3 linked regions of the Arabidopsis thaliana genome follow. The protein of the gene in region 2 interacts with the protein of the main gene of each other region in a pairwise test. Each region holds a gene or a part of one and is shown on either strand. Other genes may lie near its edges.

Region 1 (7,098 bases), on a different chromosome or scaffold from region 2:
ACCTAGACAATGTCATGTGAGGGACCCAGTGGGTAATGTTGTGTTCTTTTTTCTTCAATTTCGAGCTCATGACTTCTCCTTTGACTTTTTCGACATCTTCACCGAGACAGTCAAGTTTTTGCTGTCATGTTTTCCTCATTTCAGATCCCCAAATCCTTTCTTTAATTTTTTTCTAATTATCTTCCCCAAATTTCACTAATTATGTTGTCTCGTCAAATTAAACTGTAATATAAACGATCAAAAGAAGAGGATTATAGATCTAAAAGCCATCAAGATTTGGTAATATGTATGAACTTATGATAGAGATTCGATAACAATTTATATATATAGATTAATACATAAGTAAATAGATTCCAAGTAACCTGTGAGTAAAAGTAAAACATATCCCATGAAACATTGTAGATATTATAATCATTTTCTGTTTCTGTCGATTTTTAAAGATTCAATTTCTTGTTCTCAGCAGAAAGTTGTATAAACGTACGTGTGTGTGAATAAAATAGTATGTGGTTAATTTTCAAAGCAACTAACTTTAAGTACAAATGAAGGTATCTTAAACCAAATATTTAATAGATCTTCCTCTGCTATTGATTGAACTAATTAAATATGGAGGCAGTGAAGGAGGAGACCAAATTATGAAATTCATGTAGATCCGATGGACAATTAATATTTATTTATTTTCTTGCAGGAAAATTCCATTAAAGTATCGGTGAGTGAAATTTATTGGTGAATATTCTCTTACAAGAAATATGTAAAACAATAATATAAAAATAACCAACAGTTTAGGGAAGCTTTTGAAACAATAATTTAGCTAACAGTAGCTAGCACAAAAAAAAAAGTTAGCTAACAAGACAAAATAATTTCCACTTTTATCTTACAAAAAAGTTAGCTAACAAGCTACAAAAACAAATTTAATAGGAAAATTTGTTTCCATTAAAGAGAATTGAATGATATAGGCTTTTTGTTACTTAGTTCATAGTTCAACACCCAAAATGTGAAATTATATGTAAGCAATTTTTATATACTATTCGTAGAAGTGAACCATAATACACACATTTTACTCATAATAGTCTCTTCTTCAAATTTAGCTTTTGCTAGGTATTACCAAGTGATATGGCAGGTTCTTTGATTATCATATACAACTTGCAACCAAAACAAATAAATTCAAATACCAATTAGAGTACTTTTGGTAACACTTGGGAATGGTTTGTTACACACAAAAGACCAGCAAAAAAAGGATTTAAAATAGGGAAAAAAGAGAATTAAAGACAGAAATAAAATTAGGTTCAAAACAAAGGCCACTGCTTATTCCTCAATATGCTTCAAGTTCAAGCGAAGATGCTGAGCGGACCAGTCTTCGTAGAAGCGTCTATACCATTTTCACCAGTCCTGATTCCGGTTATCCACGTCCTATGCAAACCCGAAAAAAGCAAACTAAACTCGGTATTCCAATCGGTATATAATCAAACCCGAAATGTGAGCTTGAGATAGACTTACTTTCTCACGTTGTCGCCACCAATATCCATCTTGATTGTTAGCCGTTTAGTTGCTTTCATGAAATCACTGCATTTTTAAACCGGTTAATCAATCAAATGACGATAATCGCAAACAAACGGTTAATTGAAAGAATTCTTTTGAGATTTTTACCTGAAAGGTTCGTCTCCAATACGTTTGATAACACCATTTGCATCCCGGTACACAACATGAGTCAACAAATCCGACCTCTCTTCTATATGAAACATCTCAGCCAATTTCCGGTACAATTCTTGGTACGAGCCAATAACCGAGAGATCGAGTGTGCGTCCAACATCCTCAGATTCCATGAAAACTTTACAATGACCCGTCTCAAGTCCTTGCAAACTATAATTCCATGTTAACCCACGAGCCACTAAACCTTTCTCCTCCTCCGCTTCCGCCTCTTCTTCCAAAAACCGTTTTCGGTTCATAACTTGCTGTTCGGTTAAAATCGGTTGACCGAACAACACGAACTGATGAGTCTTAACCGAACCAACAGACTTCTTCTTATCCTGAACCATAGCAGGATTCCCCATAGTTAAAGAACACGAAATGTTATTACTATTCTCACTATCCCTAGCCTGATAATGATGATGCCTCGGGTTGAAACTCGATAGAAACATCGCCGGAGAATGTAACTTGTTGTTACCGGTGTAACTACTAAGATTGAGATCAGACAACAAAGACGGAGATGGTGATCCGAAGAGTTGTTGAGCTTGCCTGGCTCCCTGTATTCCTGCAGGAGCATTATTGTTGTCGTTTGACAGATAACACATGGACTCGCCACCGCCATTGTTGGCGAATCCCGGGGAGAAAATCGGGAATTTAGTACCGTGGAATGGAAACTCAAATGGCTGCGGAATCCTAATCTTCTTCCTCGGAGAGAATGGAGATAAATGTATTGTAGGCATGTTCGATACCAATTCGACTAACCACGGACTAACCCGCTTAACGTTTTGTAACAAATCCGGTTCGTCCCAAGCTACCTATAACAACCAATATAACCGTAACATTAACAAACAAACATGGATTCTGTTAAAAGGAAGAGACTTTGAGTAACTAACTAACCTGAAGGAGACGCCATGGTGAATTAGGCCAACGAATTGGATCAGCGACTTGAACGGCGGAGACAGTACCCATAAACCAACTGATTCTAGAAGAATCCTCTGTTTCAAACGCCATTTTAAAACGCATACCACTACACCATCTTATCCTCATTGCTGATCTAACATCAGCTGCTTTTACGCAAAACTCCGGTGTACTAGCGCGTGGATAATAAACAACCTCAAACGCTTGTCCACACGCTGCACGCGCCACCGCTTCCGCTACTGCTTCTACTCTAACCCTCCCTGTAGCCGCGGCGTTTCCGTCGTTGTTTCCGTTGCGTTTCATCATCATTAGCTTCGATGTTGTTGTTGTTGACTCGTCGTCACGGAGGAAACCGGAGAATCCAGGGTAAGGATTGTCGGATCCTGCGTTAGATCCGAGACCGCCGCGTTTAGCGCGGCGGATTCCGACGCAGAGGTCACCGGATTCAGAACGGAGGAAGACGATTGAGTCTCCGGCGATTAGTTTCTTCTGGTTAACGAAAGTGCTCCAACCGGTGGTTAGGAGATGACGGCGAGGTGTTCCTCTGTAAATATGCCGGAATTTCCAAGTCTCGCCGTGGATGTCTTTAGCAATCACGGTTTGAACCGGTGGCTCCGCCGAGTAATCAAGCCGCGGGAAAATCGTCTCGGCGCAATAACGTGGAACGGAGAAACCACCGCCGTTATTAGCGTCAGACTGCGTTAACGTTTTAGCGAAAGACGCCGGTTTCTCTTTACCGTTACCGTTACCGTCAGAAGAAGGAGGAGTTAGACCCAAAACGGCGTCGTTTTCTAGATCCAAGTCGTTTCCCGGAAGTGGCAAAAGCGTAATTTTAGCAAAAACTTCGTCTGTTTCAGCGTCGGCGAGGAACTTCACGGAGACGACACGACAGAGGATAAGAGGTGGAACGCGCGGCGCGTGAAAATCAGGAGGCGCGTGAGCGTGCTCTGTGTGGCCTTGAGCGAAGTAAAAAACCGTTGAATTCAGTGAAGGGATTTGAACCATTGATCCTGCACAAGCATGCCATAGTTGTGGATCCAAGCTTTTCTCTTGCTCCATCTAGACGAAGTTGTGTAACCCCCAAATTCTTTACTTAAAAGGAAAGATCAATACTTTGTTAAGTTTCAAGACATGAACATCAAGTTCTTGTCTTGAGCAGAGAAGAAGAGAGAGAGAGAGAGAGAGAGAGACAAGAACGGTTTCAGGGGAAATAGAGAAAGCGAAGTGAAAGAGATAGAGAGAGAGAGAGAGATTAGAGTTTAAATTTGCAGAGGAAACAGTAAAGTTTCGACTTTTATGATTTTGTTTCACTTCAAAAGAGGTATAATAGTGAAGGGGGAAAAAGCTTTAATGGCTGATCAGATCGTAGAAGAAGAAGAGAGAGATAGAGAGAGATGCTATAATCAGGTACGGACAAGACCATCGTAATAAATAAACATCTTGTTTTTCTCTTTAGTAATGATGTATACAGAAACAAGAACCAAACAAACCAGAGAGATTATCTCAAACACAAACTTTATAACTCTTTTTATTTTTCATTTTTTTAATATAAATAATATATAATAAATTGTTTTCAAGATAAATAAATTTTGTTTTTTTGTTTGATTAAAAAAAACTGCAACTAACTTGTTTGTTTCATTTGTTGCTTCACTAATAATAATAAAATTAGCAATTTATCGTATCACGAGCCGCGATAATTTGACATGTACCAACAAATTTTTGATTTTTTACTCGAAAAATCAGAAACCATGCTTGACCAGATACAAACCTAACCATGGTTAAATCTTTTTTATCTTTTTTTTTTTACTTTCTGCTTTTCACTTTGACTCTTTTTTTTGCCCGTTAGTGAAAGATGGGTTCCATTACACGATTGTGGTAAAACAAGAAATAGGTTAAACCCATGGTAAATTATATGATGTTGAAATTAGATGCCAAATAAACAGTCCTTTTTTGTACTACACTGGGGTAAAAACTATGATATTTTTAACCCATGCAAATGTTTCTTTTTATTTAAATGAAAAATAAATAGTTGCATATTATTCCCTCATTTCACCTCATTTCACAATAAATTTTCTTTTGATAATTTTCACACAAAAGTATAAATAAAATAAAAATATTCATTAGTTGACTATTGGTTTTCTTCTTCATAAAGTGTTCATTTAGATTTAAAGTTAAATTCTGGAGTCAAACTTTTTAAAAATAAAAATTTCTTCTAGAAAGATTTTTAATTTCAAAATCAATTAATGAAAAAAGGAAACTAAAGAAAATGGATTATGATCCACAACTTTGAAAGAATTACGGAGATGCTCGAATATGGTGGCAGATACTTTAGCAAAACAACATATTCCTTTGAACAACCTCTTTTATTTTTATGCTTTCGTTCCACATGTAATTACTGATCTTCTTCATCGTGACTATGTCACCGCTCGTCAATAACAAAGCTAATGTTTGATGAAAAAAAAAAATAGAATTACGGATAAATAATTATTTAGGAAGGAAAAAAAGAATAATTATGAGTTGTGTAAAATGACGTCATAAAAGTGGGGATAAAACGTACGTGGGAGTAGGAGAAGGGGGTTGACCCGAGAGATGAAAACGCGGCTGTTAAAAAGGGATTGTGGAGATTGGAGTGTGAGTGAGTTCGTTGAAGTTTTGTACTCGTCGATTGTTTTGTCGGATCAATATTATCCAATTATAACCTGACACGACATACCCAACTCATCCGTATATTGGTCCTTTTTTCTCTGCAACTATTTTACCATCAAATTATATTTACTCATAACAATTTTAAACGTTGATTGGTAAGTGTTTTTGTTGTATTTATCCTTCTGTATAGTTAGAAATAATTCAAAATTTGTGTCTCATCTTTAGAAATTAGTTTCATAAAATCTAGAAAATCTGTTTCTTTATATTTTGAAAACTAGATTTTCCTCGTACGTTGTCTATTTTAGTTGAATAATAAAAACAAATTTGTGTTTTTTTTGCTTCAAACAAAAGTAATATAAGGAAGTATAGCTTACTAACTTCATTAGAATATTAGAAATTAATTATATAACTCAACCAAAAACTTCTACCATCGAAGAATAATAACTCTTAAAGTCCAAATTAAAAAGATTTCCATCTAAGGCCTAAGTTTTGTTCTTAGGTGAGGCATAACGTCAATTTTTCTGCTTCCAGTTTAAAACTTTAAGTCGTTCCGAAAAAAGAACAAAAAAACTAATTTTGCATTTGTGTTTGATTGTGAAAAATATGTTTTTTTAAAAGTAGATTCGCAAAACAGATTAGTCACAAAACAGCTTTACATGGGTTTTCAGTTATGTTTTTCTATCTTAACTTCAAAAATGATAAGTTAAAAAAATACACGAATCTCTTTTTGTCTCTACAACAATTATTTTTATTTGAGAATATTAGCTACAATATTAATAAATTGGAACTATTATTATCTTCTATAATTAAGTCACATTCAACGATAAAGGATTCATACGAACTATATTAATATTCGTCCCTTGTTTTGATATTAAAAAGTTTGAAAAAAAATAGTCGTATGTAGGTAATAAATTTACTCCTTTTTAACTATACAAACACTAAACAGACAACTTAAGTATGTATTACTTCTATTGACCTTACTTCTATTGACCTTATATGAAACGAAGTAACTAATTTTTTTTGTCTACTTGTGAATTTTAAGAGATAAATCACATGACTATTCTAACGTAAAATGTAAATAAAATATTGTTTAAGTTCGTTTTCAAAGAATGAGCAAACAAAAAATAGTTAATAGAGAATAAATGGACCAGGAGGGAAGAAGAAAACAAAAGGATCAATTAATGCATGACTTCTGAAAAAAACATAAAATCATCGACAAGACACACAGTTTCTTTGTCTTTCAAGTGTATTTCAGCCATATACTTTTTCATCTTATCTCGAATACACACACTGGTATACATGTAAATGTGTATATAAAATGCATATATAATTAATATGTGGACTTGACATGGCTAGAAAGAAGCAACACAAAATTAGAATGGTGAATAATGTGTTGGTGGGTTGTCTTGCATTATGATCTATGAATGGTCCATTGGTCCTATGACTCCTCCCTATCCTATCTTCAACTTGTTTTTTTTCTTTTCTTATTTGTTTGTTAAAAAAATATTAAACTCCTTTCCCAAACTCTATTACATTACCTTTCCTGATCTATGCTTAATGGTCTATTTATTTTTAAGCTGTCTATGCATAAAGGAAAGCTTTAATCACACATACAAACAATTAATGGTTTTCTCTTTAACATTCACAATATTTTTCTATACCCAAACTTGTAGAGAAATTTGTTTTTCAGGGATCGATTGAACACCCCCTCTGTTCAAAATTAGATGTTTTATTTTATTAGATGTGTTGTAGCATTTTTATGTAAAGTTTAAATTATTTAATATTTTGTAGTCATTTATATTATGTAGTAATTTTTATAATTGGTTGAAATGTTTTAAATTAAATATTAAA
Region 2 (5,149 bases):
AAATGATGGGTAGAAAAGCAATAGAAGCTGCCAGGATCTTTGTTGAAGAAAGCGGGATTAGCGACTCTCTTTCAGCTGAGGACTTTCTTGTCGAGAGAGAGTCAATGTTGCAAGACCTTTTCCCTACTAGTGAGCTCATGCCAGGTAGATTCTGCTTTTTGTAACACATGACATTTGGTTCACAGGAAGATTACATGTACGGATATTTATGTTTTTGATGTGGTCATGAACCAATTCTCTTCCACATTTTCAGGGGCTAGTAGACTCATTAAGCATCTCCATGTAAAGAATATTCCAATATGTATTGCTACCGGGTAATCTCTTCACCTCATCTCATAATATACCATTTAGTTTGCATTCTCATTGTCCTTTACAATCCAGAAACTGACTTGTTATGTTTGATTGTACGCTTGCAGTACTCACACACGGCATTATGATCTGAAAACCCAAAGACACAGAGAGCTTTTCTCATTGATGCATCACGTAGTTCGTGGTGATGATCCAGAGGTGAAGCAAGGAAAGCCTGCTCCTGACGGGTTTCTCGCTGCTGCTAGGAGATTTAAGGTAACTAACAGGCAACAGTCTCCAAGATTCTCCATTACTAACTAGTTCATATTTAAAATGAGTTGTAGACTAATGTTTCCTCTTCGTCTGGATTCCTTAGGACGGTCCTGTGGATTCACAAAAGGTTCTGGTGTTTGAAGATGCTCCATCTGGAGTTCTTGCTGCTAAAAACGCCGGAATGTAAGTGGGTTTCTCTTCATGTAAAAGCCAATAAAAACCGAGAAACAAGTTTATACATCTTGATGTCTATCTACAGGAACGTGGTTATGGTACCGGATCCTAGACTAGATATCTCTCACCAAGATGTTGCAGATCAAATCATAACCTCTCTAGTCGATTTTAAACCGGAAGAGTGGGGCTTGCCTCCATTCGAAGATTCGAACTAAACGATACAAACGTCTTCAAGGTAATGATAAAAACTCAAATCATGAAGCTTATTCTTTGTCTTGTTATATTGTTTTGGCATGTACATGACAAAGGCCATGAGGCTTTATGTCGTCAAGGGTTCTATGATTTTCTGGCTATTGAAGACATAAAAAGAAACTAAGTGGTGACATGACGAGAGACCAAACAAAAAAATTTGCCTCAACGTTTAAACAAATTATTTTTGTACAACTACTCTTACCCACAAGTTTCAACATTGGCTTATCTTATTTTGTTCTTGTCGGTATAGCTGAATTGATTCCTTCTTTATGGTTTGGAATCTCTCTTCTTTACGCATCACTAACATGTGTTGTTACTGCAACGTTTCATGTTTTACACTATAATTAAGAAAAATAGGTTATATTTAGTATTACAACTTTTTTTTTATTTTTCATTTCGTACGTGAACAAAGAAGCAAACACATCCAATGATGATTTTACAGTAATGCCATTAGGATTCAACCGACATCGGCTGTTACAAAACATCGTATGACATCGTTGCAAAAACGGTCTTTCTCCTCCTCACTCGTTTCTTTTAACTTGTCTTGTGTTTCCCTTGACCGGCAAGATTCGAATTCTCTTCGCTACACGAACAAAGTCCCTGTGTCAACAAGCAAATTTTCTCGTTAACGTCCAAGTATTAAAATATTGCCAGTTAAAGATCACGAAACCTTCAAAATCTAATTATACTAAACATTGAACGAAAACCGTAATTTTTAAGAAAGATATATAACGGTATCAAACAAAATAACTATAGCCAGCAAAATTGAGTATACAGAATAAGGATAGCAACAAAATATCATTTCACTAAATTATTGATATTTGTCTTTTTAGAAAAGCAGAGAACATGTGTTTTCTTGGCAGCTTGAAAAACTTGTGTTTGTAGTATTTTACCGTTAGGGGAAAAAAAATTAATATAGTTTTCCTATGTTTAAAATAAGGCTCGTTTTATATATAGTTTGTATATATATGGCCATCCTGACAATAATAAAGAAAATTAATGTTAGGGGAGGAAAATTACTTCCAAGTAAGATCTCCGGCAAGAAGGAGATCGTTCTCCATGTCTTCATAAGCAATAAGATGGCCAGGAATGGCGTTTGACAGATCAAGATCGTCCGTTGAATCAGCTCCATCGACAAACATTTGCCTTAGAGCCGAAGCCAAGCTCTGATAACTCCCATGCTTGTCTAGGCTTATGCGTTGACATATAGAACGTCCCTCTAGCACAACCGTAACCGGAGGAACCACCGATGAAACAAGATCGTCCTCTACGTTAAGCCCAAAGCCTTGGAATGATCTCCCGGCCGCTCCAGAGCTGGAGTTGCTATTATTATGGTTTTTGGAAGCCGGTTTGGGTATGAAAGGTGTCGTGGTGTCACGAGGTTGTTGTGTGGTGCTGTTGTCTTGATGAAACCTTCTTTGCAAAGAGTCTTGGCTTTGTGGCTCGAAACTATTCATATTGAGAGTAGGGTTTTAGGGCTTTTGTAACTTAGAGAAGACAACGGACGCTTACATGGAACTCAAAGTGTTTCGTGTTTTTTTGTTAAGCTAGAGAGAGACTGTGTGTTTGATGAGATTCTGGTGAAAGTGAATGTATGTACATATAAATAGATAGAGAAAGCGTAAATTGTGTGGCAAACAAAAAGGTGTCTTTTATTTTTCATTTTTCAATTTTCGTTTGGTTTAATGTTGTCTTAAATGTTTCATTTAATTTGAAAGTACATCTGCTCTTTGGATTTCTCGTTAGACAATGAATCCTCAATTAACAATCAATTTAATATTTAATTATTCAATGAACAATTGGATTCACGTAAAAATGTTCTCACATGCTTATGTATTAAATGTGTTTTTACAATTATTGTATTTTGCTAACTTATTCTACTATATATCTATCACTGCGACTGTGAGAGTAATAAGAGCTGTTACAGGAAATGTTCCAAGGTTTCACTAATTTTGACCATATATTACCAGCAAGGTATTAGGTATTTATGTATACAAGTATAAAGAAATTTTAAAATAAAAATGTTTGGAAATGTTTACGTGGACAAAAAGAAAGCTGATGGGAAAACATAAAAACAGTGAAAAAGAGTCAATATAATAAGAAATGTGAATTAGCTAGAAAACTCCAAATTAATTAAAGACATTATAAATTGGTGATTAATTAAATAATGAAAGAAGGTATCATAGAAAAAGAGATCTTGTAAATTGTAACGCATGGGCTGCGGAGACGACCGCGCTGCCGTCGCCGAACGCCTCGCTTCCTTGACTCGCGCCTGGTCGGGAGTTCCACGTCATTTTCTTTTCATACACTAATACACACATCAAGCATACATACGAAGAATATAAAAATTGTATTAACCGGTAAACACACGCATATATCCACACGACCACACATCAACGTCATATAGAATATACATGCATAGCCATTTATCCATGTAACATCACATACACACACATGAATACGTTTAACGTTTGATCTCATACTTCTCGGATTTAACTCGGTTTGACGAAAGTAAAACAAAGTATTAGACCTTGGTCCAAAATGTAGACATCACCCCTCTAATAATAATGAAAACTCATGTTATTTGGGAGGAGTTGTTTAGAGTGATTAGATCCAAGAAAATATGTGAACTTAATTAGAAATTTCTTAGATCAAAAAAGAGGGAAAAAAAGAAGAATTGCACTCTAAACTCATACAATATAATCCAAAGTCTTTTCGGTTATAGATTTTGGTGTACGGAACTTATCTGAAAATAAATAAATAACAAGTTTGTTCGAGCTACCTAAAATTAGTTGATTCCAATTCAAGTCATTTTAAAACATTATACACGATTTTAAAATCGCAAATAATTAAGTTGAGTGACCAAATGTATAGGTAAATCATGTATGAGTCAAATAACTGTGCCTAAAATTGTAATTTTATGCTAAAATGTTGATTTTCATATGGACTATTAAATGAAAAATTAACGGTGGATCCAACAAGCAATAGGTGAATAAGCTAAAGCAAACCCAAGAAGACATAAAACGAAGCACAAGAAGCATATTTTCTTAAGTTTGAAGCAAACAATAATTTACTCTATACATTTAAATTTCAACTCGGGATTCGAATTAGAAGACTCGAAGATCCGACATGGAGGCATGGAAATATTTAAAACTTACCTCGGTTTCATAGATCTCAATTTAGGACTATAGTTTAACACATTACTACGTCTACATGTTATATTTAATCATCTAATTAATTTGTCTCGATTTTTGTTTTTTTTCGATTCTACAGACATACGTTAATGTTTGCTTATTCCACTCCCCGATAATAATCAAAATTTAAATAACAATCAAACACTTACCCGCTGTTTTGGTCTGTTTCTAACCAAACAATGATAATCATTTTGTCATGCTCATCCAACATTAGCACAAGTCTAAACAGGCCTTACACATCAGCTCAATAAAGCCTTAATAGGCCCAATTAAAACAGTATGGGCCCACATTCTTCCTTCTCTTAAAGCCTAAACAGTTGGCGCGTCAAAATCACGTGGAGGAGCACTGAAGCCAGTAGGTGTCTCTTCACAGGATCATTTCCTTAAAGCTCATTATCACAAAAACAAATCCTTTTGATTATTATTACTGAAATAAAAAGCAAAGTGAAAAAGGTTTTAAAAACTTTTATTTTCGCTCTTCTCCAGAAACATTCCGTTTCAGATATTTTTGATTTTTGAATTTGTTTTCGCTCTCTCTCTCTCTCTGCTTAGATTAGATCTGTTCCTGTGAATTGATTCTCTGTTTCATCGTTTGCTCACGCCGCCGTTTTCGCCGGAGGTGGAAGCTCTCATCGCCGTTTCGAAAATGCCGGCGAATGATGCTGAATACGATCTCAAAGTAAGATTACTGTTTTCCGATTTGTTTTCCTCATCGAATTTCAATTTCAAGCTCCATTGACTGATTCTATGGTTTCTTCTTCACAGGTTTTATCTCAATCTGCGTCAGCAGGGTTAGTTTTCTTCTTAATCCCCCTAGGGTTTACTTTAAAATCTCCAATGAGTACTGATTGGAATTTTTGTTTTTTTGATTGAGAAGGGATTACACATTTGCGAATGAGGATAACTTGGAGCATTGTACGAAGTATTTGAATCAGACGATGGTTACATTTGGATTTCCCGCCTCGCTCG
Region 3 (6,963 bases), on a different chromosome or scaffold from region 2:
CCAGTTGATTAACTTGACTACTTTGATTAATTAAATGATTAATCCAAATCAAGACTACCCCATGTATCTCTCATTTTGCTGTTTGTTTTCTCTTATGATCTTGTTGGGATTGTGAATTCTGAACATGTGTGGTTCAAGAGTCAACTTCATACGTAGAGTTGTCACAATCACTTTTGATTAATGTAAACTCCTAAACTTTTGATTTATTCAGATATGCAATTAATTTATGTGTGTATCTATTTTTGTATACAATGTTCATACTCTCTCTTAAGCTACAATAATTGAGTTTTGGTTCAATTTATATTAACTCTAATCATGACATGTAACTGGATTTAAAATATCTCCCTTTCGTCTATTTACACATTTCATGATGTCCATCACTCTCAAGTCATATTCATTTTTGTATTGATGTCTAGAAGCGTCGTCAGATTAGGTCTGAGAGTGGACAAGTCATTTTACAAAAACATTTTTACAAATCTATCATGATTAAGACTTGAGATTGGAACATTATAGGACATTAGGTTGGAACAGAAAAAGTGAGTATGGTTTTATATAAGATTAAAGACTAGAAAGTAAAAAGGGCTAGAACTTTTGGTCTTTTTACATTAAATAAGCAGAGAAAAAGTGAGTTTAGAACTTCATTGACTTTGAGAACCGAGAAGCGAATATAGAGTACTTTCGTTGTACATTTATAATTAGTAGGTTGAAGATGATATGGAATTTTCGTTGTGTATACATTGGAATCTGAAAATCTTTTAAATATATATATAGTTTTGAGTTATAAATGAAAAGTGGGAGATCCAACTTAACTTAGGTGTTGAGGACTTTGTGTTTTGTCAAACATAGGATCCGACCGTTGTTTGTTGTGCATGTGCCTAGAGACATGACCCTCGCATCACCCTAACTAATTGTCTTCCAGATTTTTATTACTTTTCATACCTCTCAACAACTTATTGATCCCAAGAAACAAATAATGAAATATTTAAAGAAAAATCACTTTATATATTACATAATGAATCAAAGTAAGCAATGCAACCATGTTTGAGGCCTATTGGTTTATGCGTGTCATCACTAATTTGTAGACAAATTGAAGTGACTTTGACAAACATATCATAATTTGCCGTCTAGACTTTGGTTCTTATACCCTATTTGATCAATGAAGCTTTTCAAGGGAAGAAGAACCTATTTTATTTGCAAATAGATTGTGAATTGCATTTTGAAACTTACATAATCCAAAAAAGTGGAACTAAAATAAACAAATAAAAGAAAAAAAAAACTTAAAAGATTCAATCGTTGAGTTTTGACTTCCAAGCTCCAACAAAACACTCTGCCAAGTTATACTACAACGCTCTCACTTCCTTGTTCCGTCAGAATTGTCAATCTTCGAGCTGTCTTCAAGAACTCACTGCCAAAGATGAGTCAAAACACCAACAACTATTAGATGTTTTCTTTTACTTCATCATCAAAATAGTACGAAAAATATGACAATCTTGTCTATAATAAAAAAATGTACCTGAAAGGTTCGTTTCCTGCGTATTTGATGGCTCCTGATGCATCCCTATAGAGAACAGAGCTTAACATCTCAGACTTTTTGATTCCAAACATGTCAGAGAGTTTCCGACTCAATTCTTCGTATGAACCAAGAACCGATAGGTCTAAGGTTCGACCTACATCGTCTGACTCCATAAACACTTTACAATGCCCTGTTTCCAAACCTGATGCATCATGAACTTTCTTAGAGCAAGGTGATCCTTCATCTGACGAAGAAAACTCCCTTCCCGCAACGCCGTTTTGGTTCGACCCGCCTGATGAAATCTGCGTTTTCTCTATGTTTGCGGTATCCGTTGAGCCTTTTTCTGATAGCTGTTCCTCGGGTAGTATAAGCTTGCCGAACAATACAATATGGGACTTTTTAGATTTGGTATCATTGCATGGTGTTGTTCCCATTGTCAAAAAGCAAAATCCTTTTTCGTTTTTGGTATCGATGTTTCGGAGACCGAGAGAAGGAGAAAGTTGGAGAGAGGATGGAGGAGGAGGAGGAGGTGGTCTATTCAAGTAGTAATGGTGAAGATCCGAAGATGATAACCCGTAGTACTGATGAGCATTATGCCTGGCTCCCTGTAAACCCACGGGAACATTGTCCAGAACAGAGCTTAACGGGCTTGATCTAATAAGGGGATTGCTTGGGAATGAAGGTACTGGAATCGAATTGATCAGATTGTTGTAATCTGGATGCTGAGGTAGCCGCATCTTTTTCCTCGGTGGCGAAAACGAAGTAAGCGGGATCGGATGTACGTTTGATACCAATTCCACCAACCACGGGTTAACTCGCTTCACGTTTTGGAGTAAATCTGGCTCATCCCACGCCACCTGAAAACACAAAAATGCAACCTATGAGTCTATATTCTAACTTGAGCTAGAAGAAAATTTTGAGTGTTTGTTTACCTGTAGAAGCCGCCAAGGAGAGTTAGGCCAACGGATAGGATCAGAGACATTAACAGCTGAAACAGTCCCCATAAACCAACTTATCCGAGACGAATCCTCTGTCTCAAAAGCCATCTTAAACCTCATACCTGAGCACCACGGAATCCGCATGGCAGCTCGAGCATCTAATGCCTTGACACAAAACTCTGAAGTGCTAGCTCTCGGATAGTACACAACCTCAAACGGTCTTCCGCTAATAGCAAGAGTGGCTGCTTCTATAACAGATTCAGCCGTCACTTTCCCCTTCCTATCCGCAAGGGAACAATTACTTCTCCTCAAACTATTGCTTTCATCTTCCCTTAACAGAGAAGAGTAGCCGCAACTTCCACCGATCGGATTCCAACCCGCTGAATATTCGGGTCCATTACCTATCCCTCCTCTCTTAGCCCTCCTAATACCTACACAAAGATCTCCATTCTCCGCTCTCATGAAGACAATCGAATCTCCCGCCACAAGCTTCTTCTGGTTTACAAAATTACTCCATCCGGTTGTAAGAAGGTGACGCCGAGGCGTCCCTCTATAAATATGTCTGAACTTCCAAACATCACCATGAACATCCTTAGCAAGAATGGTCTGAACCGGCGGCTCGGCGTTATAATCCAACCTCGGGAAAATCGTCTCAGCGCAATAACGAGGAACAGAGAAACCCCCACCGTTATTAGCATCAGACTGAGTCAAAGTCTTAGCAAACGAAGGCGTTTTCTCACTATTACTCTCGAAACCGTTACTATCTTCACCATCACCATACTCGTGATCAACATACTCATCATCTTTCAAAGGAATCAATCTCAGTTTAGCGAAAACCTCGTCAGATTCAGCATCAGCCATATACTTAATGGCTAAAACACGACACAAAACCATGGGAGGAATAGGGAGATTACCGAAATCGACACAATCGTAAGCGTTTTCGGCGTGACCTTGAGGAAAGTAAAAGACTTTAGAGTTCATAGGAGGCATACGAACCATACCACCAGCACATGCATGCCATAGCTGAGGATCTAAACCTTTCTCTGTTCCACCTTTCATTGGATTCATCACATTTATCATATTTTTTGTGACCGTTTTTGCTGCAACAACAAATACAAATGTATCAGCTTTTGTTTGAGAACAGAGTAACCAAACAAAAGCACAATACAAATGCTTTTTATTTAGCAACTCAAGTCCTTTGTATCAGTCAACTTTACCTAACAAACGAAATTTTCCCGGAAAATAAAAATAAATAAAAAGATTCAAGAAAAACCGACAAAAAGGGTCATTTCAGATAGTAAGAAGATTTCAAATACCAAATCTCCGGAGAAAACAAAAAATACAAATTATAAAACTTCAAGAACGTTTTGAGGATATTTAGTTTATTAATCCATTATGAAATTAAAAAGACCACAAATTAAGAAAATTTAGTTAGATTAGATTTTCATAAGAGCAAGCTCACGATTGTGTTGTGTGAAGCAGACAAAGCAAAAAAAACATAGATCGGTCTGAAGTAAGAACAAGAACCACACAAAAGAACAGTAAACTAACAAAGTTAGATAGAACTAGTTAGACATGATGATCAAATCGAATCAAGCTAAACCAAATCAAATTCATATCGAATCGATTGAGAAAACCAAAGATGAAACAGAGAAAGATTAGGAGAGAAAATTTATGTAAAATTAGTTCAAACCTGAAACAGTGGCAGATCTGAACAAAATAGCGAAGATTCTGTGAAAAACCAATCTAGGTATAGAGAGAATCTGAAGATTCTGCAGCTAATTTCTGCTTCAGAATCGGATAAGGAAGGTTACACTTTTTGCACAAAGAAAATGGAAAAAGGGGTTCGTATATATGAAGGAAAGAGCTTTGGCTCTTCTGCAGAAAAACAAAACTAAAAATAAAATAAAAATAATATTATCTCTTTTTTCTCAACTTTCATTAACTCTTTCACATGTCTTTTTTATTATTATTTCTTCTCTAGTTAGTGAATTTTTTAGAAAATATTAATCCGGATTATTTTAAGTGTAATAAATTTTAAGCCTAAAAGAAGGTAACAATTTGGTAAGTCAAACCCTTGATTCCGGGCATAAAAATCGACAATATGGAGTGTGAAAAAAGAAGAGAATTAAAAAAAGAAATATCGACATACGAGTTAAAGAGTTGAATCGCGCACGTGACGGATCCGCACGTGTCGTCGGTGCTTCCGACATATCTCCTTGAAATCTGATTAGAAGCATCTAATTATTTAACAATTCAAGGCAAGCTAATTAACTCAGCCATTAATTGTTCTTTGAATAAACTAATTTTTACAGTTTGATTTGATAATCCCAATAGTTCATTGAATTATTTTTAACTTATTGTTTACGAAACACGATATTTTGTTGATAACCATGTAAGCAATTTGCTGTTGCTAACCATCTTTCTTTGTGTTTAAACGATGTAAAAATAAAATTCTACCTCGGGTTTTTATATTCCCGTTTGATTGGCCCAGACTAGTATTCTAAAATACATTATACAGCTGTATATATATATATATATTGTGTTGTAAATAACTATAGTTCTATTTTATGTTCTATTTGTATAGTATAATTATATGAAATACACAACTGCATATAGACGTATAAAGGCTGTACATGCAGCATATATATGAGGTACACATATTTTTAAAAACAAAAAACATAGTTTCGTGTGTTTTTCTAAATGGTAAGTGAAAGGAAGATTAAAATTATTGGTTTCAAAAAGGAATGAAGGGAGATAAACATCTAACTATTTATGTTAAAATTTACCAAAGTTGAAAAAAAAACTTAGAATTTTTTGCTTTTGATCCCATAGTTTTTTCGTAGGTTGCGAACCAATTCATAGGAAATCAGGAGACTTAGATAATCCTTTTAAAATATAATTTAAGGATCCTAAGAAAACATTTTAGAAAATTTCTCTGATATGACTATACCCTATATATCCAAATAAGATAGAGATACGACATACATATGTCAATCCTACATGATCGTAGCAAGGCTCAATAAATTTCCGCATGTGTCATTGTATTTTTTTGTCGTAAGAGTTAGCTTTCCAATTAATAATACCAAGAGTTTGATCTAGGCCATACGTAAACAAAAATCCAATATCCAATTATATACACAAGTATAAGAACCAAAATTTTCAAGATTGGAATTATGAAACTGAAATTATAATCTGAAATTATTTTAGATAACACTAAAATCTTTTAATATATGGGAATGTGATAATAAGAAAATAATAATTAACAATGATAATGAAAACATATTTAACCGGAGGACATATCACGTGTGAGTAACCATGGTTAAGTTTGAAGTGTGTCTGTGTATGTGTGTTGTTTGGTCAATACCACATACTTTCCTTGTCAATAGTTATTACGTGTGTCTCCATTTATGTTAATCCAGTAATAATTTACATGTCACAAGGGCAAATTCGGTATTTGAATCTTAAACCACCGGATCTGATCTAATTGTCCTCTTATTATTCCTTCAGATTTTGGTTACCACATTTGCATGTAATACTCCTTAGTGGTTACACCTTCTATGTTTATCGATGTTCCTCATGACCACAAGTGTCGTTAATAATGTAATTTAGATTTGGGCTAACTTTTGGAAAAACTTGGGCATGTGAACTCAATCTACTAATAATCATGTTATATTTTTAGGGGTTGGCAAACCACAATTTGGGATTTTGCGAGAACTGGACGAAACAAATTTCTTAAAAAGAAAAAATTATTTATAGACAGCAACGAGACATGACGGAAATGGAAATGCTCGCCAATATTTCTTGCTTGTTTTATTTTTCAATTTATACATTTTAGTTTGTTTGTTCCATTCAATTATTTGGGTTTATGGTTTTTATTTTATTCACATATAATGGATTTGATAAAAAATTTGAAAAATAGTTTGGACAAAAGAAAAAAAACAGAATGATAAAATAAAAGCTAAAAAGAGAAATGAAAGCTAAAAACAAGAAAGAGCGTAAATGAAAAGCGACCTATAAAGGAGAAGACATATAAAGACATGAAATTGGGATCAGACACAAACAGTCGTTATAGACATTGACTCTCTCTTGTCCTTTTCTTTCTCCCATTTTGTCTTCACAAAATAGTTTTTTTTTCCTCTTTTAAAATATAGATAAAGATATTTTAATCTGAAGTTGTATGTTTGTCCGAAAAAAAAAATCTGAAATATTAAGGCTTTTTAGTTTCAACTTGTACCCAACACAATTGGGCTGGGCCTGGTTACATTAACATGGCAAACTAAAATTTCCCAATCACATCTGTATCAATGTGAGAAGATTTACAACTCTTTTCTTTTCTTCTCTTCTCTACTTTATAAAAAACCATAAACTATGAAAACTGAAAAAGATTGTTCTAAGATTTTGTCACTACAGAGAGTCAAGAGAGACCTATAGTTTTGTAGAACACCTCTGCTTCAACTTCTTCAGCCAATAGATATTTAACTATTATAAGTCTCAGAAACCAGAAAGGTA

The links.
Region 1: the proteins of IAA33 (region 2) and ARF10 interact in a two-hybrid assay, tested with the Arabidopsis thaliana proteins (2 studies listed by BioGRID).
Region 3: the proteins of IAA33 (region 2) and ARF16 interact in binary tests that used the Arabidopsis thaliana proteins (3 or more experiments, as listed by UniProt).

What each region holds. Positions count from the first base shown.
Region 1 is NC_003071.7:12,110,893-12,117,990, reverse strand, and holds ARF10 (auxin response factor 10), read right to left. Parts: upstream 4,103-7,098; 5' UTR 3,661-4,102; coding exon 2,581-3,660; intron 2,499-2,580; coding exon 1,645-2,498; intron 1,561-1,644; coding exon 1,495-1,560; coding exon of another isoform or gene 1,491-1,494; exon of another isoform or gene 1,408-1,490; coding exon 1,326-1,407; 3' UTR 1,049-1,325; downstream 1-1,048. UniProt on the Arabidopsis thaliana protein: Auxin response factors (ARFs) are transcriptional factors that bind specifically to the DNA sequence 5'-TGTCTC-3' found in the auxin-responsive promoter elements (AuxREs). Could act as transcriptional activator or repressor.
Region 2 is NC_003076.8:23,267,319-23,272,467, reverse strand, and holds IAA33 (indole-3-acetic acid inducible 33), read right to left. Parts: upstream 2,555-5,149; 5' UTR 2,445-2,554; coding exon 2,008-2,444; intron 1,588-2,007; coding exon 1,509-1,587; 3' UTR 1,376-1,508; downstream 1-1,375. Other genes in the region: GS1 (Haloacid dehalogenase-like hydrolase (HAD) superfamily protein), read left to right, coding at 1-144, 254-314, 417-564, 665-744, 821-950; AT5G57410 (Afadin/alpha-actinin-binding protein), read left to right, coding at 4,827-4,859, 4,946-4,971, 5,058-5,149. UniProt on the Arabidopsis thaliana protein: Aux/IAA proteins are short-lived transcriptional factors that function as repressors of early auxin response genes at low auxin concentrations.
Region 3 is NC_003075.7:14,702,034-14,708,996, forward strand, and holds ARF16 (auxin response factor 16), read right to left. Parts: upstream 4,322-6,963; 5' UTR 4,145-4,321; intron 3,552-4,144; 5' UTR 3,532-3,551; coding exon 2,446-3,531; intron 2,371-2,445; coding exon 1,514-2,370; intron 1,406-1,513; coding exon 1,336-1,405; 3' UTR 1,032-1,335; downstream 1-1,031. UniProt on the Arabidopsis thaliana protein: Auxin response factors (ARFs) are transcriptional factors that bind specifically to the DNA sequence 5'-TGTCTC-3' found in the auxin-responsive promoter elements (AuxREs). Could act as transcriptional activator or repressor.